Linked DNA regions of Tribolium castaneum. Each later gene encodes a partner of the first gene's protein in a complex. Links are inferred from orthologs where the notes say so. Each region holds a gene or a part of one and is shown on either strand. Other genes may lie near its edges.

What was found.
Region 2: Psf2 (region 1) and dpa share a complex: the UniProt entries of both Homo sapiens proteins name them as parts of the CMG helicase complex. The link is inferred for Tribolium castaneum from reciprocal best matches to the Homo sapiens genes GINS2 and MCM4.

The regions. Positions count from the first base shown.
Region 1 is NC_087395.1:26,564,311-26,567,014, reverse strand, and holds Psf2 (probable DNA replication complex GINS protein PSF2), read left to right. Parts: upstream 1-1,329; 5' UTR 1,330-1,336; coding exon 1,337-1,584; intron 1,585-1,627; coding exon 1,628-1,898; intron 1,899-1,946; coding exon 1,947-2,027; 3' UTR 2,028-2,063; downstream 2,064-2,704. Other genes in the region: glutamate receptor ionotropic, kainate glr-3, read left to right, coding at 1-215, 270-291; RWD domain-containing protein 4, read left to right, coding at 2,164-2,268, 2,316-2,425, 2,474-2,657. UniProt on the Homo sapiens protein: Required for correct functioning of the GINS complex, a complex that plays an essential role in the initiation of DNA replication, and progression of DNA replication forks.
Region 2 is NC_087396.1:22,083,688-22,088,116, reverse strand, and holds the start of dpa (DNA replication licensing factor MCM4), read left to right. Parts: upstream 1-1,350; 5' UTR 1,351-1,508; intron 1,509-1,554; coding exon 1,555-2,001; intron 2,002-2,051; coding exon 2,052-2,249; intron 2,250-2,428; coding exon 2,429-2,663; intron 2,664-2,719; coding exon 2,720-2,962; intron 2,963-3,313; coding exon 3,314-3,542; intron 3,543-3,593; coding exon 3,594-4,053; intron 4,054-4,106; coding exon 4,107-4,385; intron 4,386-4,429. UniProt on the Homo sapiens protein: Acts as a component of the MCM2-7 complex (MCM complex) which is the replicative helicase essential for 'once per cell cycle' DNA replication initiation and elongation in eukaryotic cells.

The DNA.
Region 1 (2,704 bases):
TCGATTTTAAACGCCGAAGTACAAAGTACGCAAGAGGAAATGAAAGCGATCATGAACATGAAAAAGTTTTTTGGGGCAATTGTAGCTCTATTTATTGGTTATTTCATCAGTGTTGTCGTATTAATTGTGGAGAATGTTTACTTTCATTTCTTTGTCAAAAGGAATCCGCATTACAACAAATACACCAGAAGCATTCATCACGTAAAAAAAGCGGAGTAATTATTACATGCATTCTTTTAGACTGTTCTTGTACTTCATTACTTTATTAGGAAATTTCATTTGACTTTCTGAGAGATAACAACAACATTAGTACTAACCACGATATAGAGACAGACAGGTAAACCAACTCGCTATTATAATTGATTCTAACGCTGGAGCAAGTTGATAGACGGCAGCACGGTAGACTGGGACTGTCACAATTTCACAAATTTTCTTTGTTTTTTATAAAAAAAATGATGCGAAATTAAAAAATGTTATCTCAGCACCCAAGTTAGTCATCTTGTAACAACTTCTGCTTTTTTCGCGCTGAAATAATAATATTTTCTGAATAGTTCTAAACTTCGGTTCGATGCATTTTCGGCCGCGAAAGACATCGAAACATTGAAGTCAGAATAAATGCTTTCCAGAAAAAAAACTCCACTACCATTCGGTGCTGGCATCCTTCAGGTATTAATTGTTCTTCATAAATGTCGTATTTTTAACAACGTGATGCGTGTATCTTTTTTCTTGTAAACATTGTGACAGTCCCAGTCTACGCTGGTGCCATCTGTCAGATAAAATAAAAGCTCCAACTTGCTCCACATTTTGGTTTGCGCCCGACAATGGAAAATAAGGGAAGTTGGTTCACCAGGACTATCTATACATGGTGGTACTAACTGTGACAACTGTCAAAAGCAGCGTATTGGTGTAAAGTCAAAGCCCTCTTGACAATTTTTCCAAAAGTGTGATTACAGGCATTTATCAAACTTTTTGAGCAAAATAATCCTTCCTATTAAGAGTTGATTGAAATGTTTCACATCTTTGTCTTTGTCGTTTTCTCTTTGAAGTCACGCAAAATTTTCCCCATCTGCCCCCCTCAAAAATCTAAGTTGTGTCGTTAAGGGTAACTGTGACAAAAAGACCTATGACGATTCTGTGGGTGTAAGACAGCGCGCAACCCCTTATATATTAGTATAGTCATGTATAGTATAATTTATTAAATAAAAAACACGGTTTTCGCACTTTATTTTTAAATGATTTGTGAACTTGGCATTATTCAATTTCGCGCATGCGCCTTACTTTTGGCGCCAAAATTATTGAGGTTATTCAAACGTGAAAAATCTTCGACCATTGAAAAATGGATCCTGAAGAGGTTGAATTTTTGGGTGAGAAACAACTAGTCACGATTGTCCCACTGACCACAGACGATGACTACCTTAAACTAATTTCGGGTGATTTTGGCCCATTTCGTATGGGTATGCCTGTTAAAGTACCGTTATGGGTTGCTGTCCAATTAAAGCGACAAAAACATTGCAAAATACAACCCCCTGATTGGATGGAAATCGAGACTTTGGAGGCGATTAAAAACGAAGAGAAACTTTCTAGGTGTGAGTACTTTTGTTAGCCTTTAAGTGCAACAAAATTGTAGGAACTTTACGAAAATGCCCAGTAAGTTCTACATGGTCGAAGCGAAACAAATTTTGGGGTGCGCCTCTGATGATATTTCACGTGCGGATGAAATAAGAACGATAATTAAAGATATTTGGGACATAAGAATGTCAAAATTGAGGTCTTCAATTGATTTATTGGTTCGGAATAATGGGGCTTCTGCTGTCGTTACAAACTTAACTTTGATGGAAATTAATTCGATTAGACCGATTTTACCACACACTTTAGATCAGATACGCCGAATGAAAAACGTGAGTGATTTTTTCTAGTAAAAAAGGGAGGTTATGTGAATTTTTTAGTTTAAACCGTTTCACGGCTGGCGTTCCCAGGACACATCCTTTGTATCAGATTCACGGAGCTCCACTAGTTTTCACTCTTGATTATGTATAAAATCCAAATAAAATCTTTGAAATCTGTCTTCTGTCAAATTATTAAGGTTATGTCACCCGAAAGTTGGGTTATGTATTTTTAGAAAATTTTACATTTTTGTAAATAGAAATGTTTTAAATTGTTACAATGTCAGAGACTGAGCTTCAGGATGAAGAGCGCGAAGTTCTGTCGTCAATTTACGACGGAGACGACTGTTTTAAGCAGATTTCGTCCAACACCTTCCAATATAAAGTGAGTCATTTGGGGGCCCAAAACAATTACAATAACCATTTTTTCAGTATGGGGAGAGTGATGCTACGAAATCATTTCTATTGGAAATACAATGGGGTGAAAAGTACCCCAACGCAGCACCTAAAGTGAACATGGACACTTTTTACAATAAACACATGTAAGTGCTCCCCTTTGTTCAAAGTTCGTTCTCAAGTCGTGTGTTTAGTATCAAGCCTTTGAAAGACAAGATTGTGTCTGCGGTGGAAGAGGAGGCGCAACAGTATTTAGGAATGTCAATGACTTACTCCTTGTTTGAATTTATCAAAGAAAAATTTGAGGTGCTTATGTTGGAACAACCGGAAGAAATTGCGGAAACGGTTGAGAAATCACCTAGCCCCGAACTTGAACAAGTTAGTAATTTCATATTTAGTTATCCATGGAAATGAAAAGGCATTAC
Region 2 (4,429 bases), on another chromosome or scaffold:
TGTACCAACAGGCTAAATTCACTGGGAACAAAGGGTTTACTTTTTTTCTTCCGGGAATTATTTACGCTTGGCAAAATTAACATATCTTGGAAGGTTTACGTGCTGTGAGGGTGGGGTTTCTTATTTTTTATTCGCTGGTGTACGTCGTCGCGAGTGGTTGTAAAAAAGATAAACTTATGAAAATGTTACTAGCTTCAAGGAAATCATTGTTGTATAGGCCGTTTTTGTCAAATGCGTTTTGCCTACTGAAAGTTTTTGTATTCGCTTCATTTATACGAGTGTTATTTTTGTATATTTTGTACATAAACCTAGGTAATGAAAATAAATGTGATAATTATAAATTATCTGAAGGATACGTCGATGTATCATTTTTTTCAAAAATAAATGCCAAGTCTGTTACTTAAATACGACTTTTTATATATCGTATAAGAGATTATATCAGAATTTGTACATGTTGTATATAACTGTATATAAATAACTATTTTGCCTTGTAAATATTACCTACCTTTAATTAAATCGAGTGTTCACGACTACATACCTACATTTTTTGTAATTATTTGAAGGGTGTAATGGTTATTCGTTATCCAATCAAATTTCATCTGTGAAAATTTAAATATAAATGTATTGAAAAAACAATGTTTTATTTCACCCATACCAATTTTTTTTACCTTCCACAAATTTTAGCAAAATAATGGTATGTGCCTGATGAAATTTATTACATAACATTTTGATATTTTACTATTTAATGGTAAAAATCATTTTCTCTGAATAAAATTTTATTAACTTAGTAAGTAGTCCGTTCACTGTAGAATTACACGTTCGTAATGTTGGTTGCATACCATTCATTTTTTCTATGTAGGGTTAAATTCATGATAAAAAATTCAATTTTGGGGCCTTATATTGCTATCTTTATTGTTATATCTTTAATAGAAAGGTTTAAATGCTGTAGTGCATAAGATGCATAAGATTTTCACAATGTCCGAATTTGAGAAATACGGGGAGCTCAAGCACAAGAACATCAAAATTTTGACCTTAAATTAATAACAAAATGTGAAACCTACCTTTTTCTCGATCTGGAACACACCCAACACCAATTCTGCACGATTTTTCACCAAAAAAAGTCTTAAGCAACAAACACCAACAAATTTTCACAACAAACAATAAAGCCACTTGATTTTTAAAACAAAATTCTGTGCGCATGCGGCTTTGTAGCTAAGGCAACTCCAAGCAGCCTTGAAAATAATGTAATAACGTAAACTTTATAAAATTCGGTTTTAACAGAATTTTTATCTACAAATCAACATTGTTACAAAGTTTTAATTTTACAAACAATGGGGTAAACAATCATTAAAACCACGTTGAAACTTTAGCCACTATTAACAAAGCGCGCGTCATCTGCAACCTCTTCCACGAACTACTTAGCGTTTTCCCGCCTTTTTTACAGCAACAACAGTTGGTTAATTGTGTAAAAAAACATTATCAACACATTTTTTGTTGTTTTATTTACGGTAAGTGATTAAATCAGCGATAACTCCACCTAAAAACCCAAATTAGATGTCTTCCCCAGCCCCCCATCGTACCCCTCGCGCAAACCGCGACGATGATGCGCCCACTCCTCGGGGACGCAGACCTGCCGGGGGTCAAACCCCTCGAGGTCACCGCACCCCAGCTCGTGAGGACCCTCCCCAAACCCCATCTCGGACCCCCAGACGGAACCCAACTCCTGCCAAAAGCGACACCATTGATACCCCAATGCGTTGGGGCGGAGCCCGACGTGATTTGGACGCCGACGGCGGGGAAATCCCCTCGTCTCCGGCTGGGGTCACAAGCCCACCGGTGGCAATGAGCGAGATTGATTTATCTTCGCCACTTAATTACGGGACTCCTTGCTCTTTGGGGTCCATCAGGACCCCCAGATCGGGGATTAGGGGGACCCCAATTAGGATGCGGCCCGATGTGAGGACTGATCGGAGGATGAGACAAGTTAATGTCGGAGGAGAGGTTCAACAACTGTTTCAAAAATTGAGCTCGTTTTGACTCGATTTTTTTAGTTGGATCCGGTTGCTGAGGGTGATGAGGGCAGTACAGCCCCGCATTTGGTCATTTGGGGCACTAATGTCTCAGTTGCTGAATGTAAAGAGAAGTTCAAACAGTTTGTTTTGCGGTTTATTGATCCAAATGCGGAAGAAGATGAAAGAACTGATGATATGAATGTTAACGAACCCTTGTATTTTCAAAAATTGGACGAGGTGCGAACCTTATCATGATCAAAGAGGCGTTGACTTTGTTATTACGTTGGCAATGCTATCAGATTTAAGCGTCAGACAAATTTAAAAAAAACAATCGTATTTGTCTTTTTTATCTGTTGCCAACTTAATTTCAAAATCATTGATCACAAACTTGATCGTGTAGCAATTATTTTTCGTAGATAAACACCCTCGAAGAGCCGTTTTTGAACGTCAACTGTTCTCACATTGAGACTTTTGACGCCAATTTATACCGCCAATTGGTTTCGTATCCTCAAGAAGTCATTCCAATTTTTGACATGATGATCAACGAAATGTTTTACGAGCGTTATCCTGCTGCTGAATTGGAGCACCAGATTCAAGTCCGGCCCTTCAATGCGGAAAAAACACGAAATATGAGGGCCCTGAACCCTGAAGGTTAAATTCCTTCCAAAAAAAAATCTTTTAATATAAAATTTTATTTTTTTGCACAGATATTGATCAGTTGATCACAATCACTGGCATGGTCATCCGTACATCGAATTTAATGCCTGAGATGAGAGAGGCATTTTTCAAATGTATAGTTTGTAACTTTACAACGACTGTGGAAATTGACAGGGGGCGCATTACCGAACCCACTCTTTGCACCAGTTGTAACACCAATCACTGCTTTACTTTGGTCCACAATCGGTCGCAGTTCACCGACAAACAGATGATCAAATTGCAGGAATCCCCGGGTATTTTTTTAATTTATGTTTTCTCCTCGGATTTATTTTTATTTTTTATTCTTAACCATTCTACAAGATGATCCCAGTTTATCTTCATCCATGATATTTCTTCTTTTCTAATTTATTTCAACTTTTTTATATTTTACACTGAAAAAAATTGTTTGAACTATAAGAAAAAATTTATTTTTGTCGCCAACCTCGGGAAGAATTGAAGATTTTTTATTATCTATCTTCTATTTAATCCACACTTAACACTTACCCACTTAACTAAACGTTACAGTTACATAAAAAAAACGTTTTCTAGTTAAATCATAAGCACAATTTTTTATTTTTTTTTATTATTATAATGTTTTTGGTCAGACGACATGCCTGCGGGCCAAACCCCGCACACCGTCGTCCTCTTCGCCCACAACGACCTGGTGGACGCCGTCCAACCGGGCGACAGGGTCACCGTAACGGGGATTTACCGAGCGCAACCCCTTCAAGTGAACCCCCGACAACGCAACCTTCGCGCGGTTTACAAAACACACATTGACGTCCTCCACTTCCGTAAAATCGACACGAAACGCTTATACGAAGAGGAGGACGGGTAAAAACACCACAGTGAAAAAATAACTCACTTCCCCTCTTATTCTTCCAGCAAAGACCATCGTTTTCCACCCGAACGGATCGAATTATTACAACTCCTTTCAGAAAAAGAGGATATTTACGAACGGCTAGCTCACGCTTTAGCGCCGTCGATTTACGAAAACGCCGACGTCAAAAAAGGGATTCTCTTACAACTGTTTGGCGGAACGAAGAAAAAATTTGTTACGTCAGGTCGTACGAATTTTCGGTCCGAAATCAATATTTTGCTGTGTGGAGATCCGGGAACCTCCAAGTCACAACTTTTACAATACGTTTATAATTTGGTTCCCCGAAGTCAGTACACTTCAGGGAAAGGCTCCTCAGCTGTTGGTTTAACAGCCTATGTGACCAAAGACACCGAGACTAGACAGTTGGTTCTGCAAACGGGGGCCCTAGTTTTGGCCGACAACGGCATCTGTTGTATCGACGAGTTCGACAAAATGAACGACTCGACTCGCAGTGTCTTGCACGAGGCGAGTTGAGAATTGTTTAGCAATTGATCAAAATTTAAACAGAGTTTTTACAGGTGATGGAACAACAGACTTTGAGCATAGCCAAGGCTGGAATAATCTGCCAGTTAAACGCCCGGACTTCAATTCTCGCGGCCGCAAACCCGTCCGAATCTCAATGGAACAAAAATAAAACCATAATCGAAAACGTGCAACTACCACACACTCTTTTATCGCGCTTTGACCTAATTTTTCTGATTTTGGACCCCCAAAGCGAGCTTTTCGACCGAAAATTAGCCTCGCATTTGGTCTCACTCTACCACAAGGCGCCGCAGCAAAACGATGACGAGATTCTGGTACACTTACCTTGATGTGCTTCAATCATTACAATTTTTTCTCT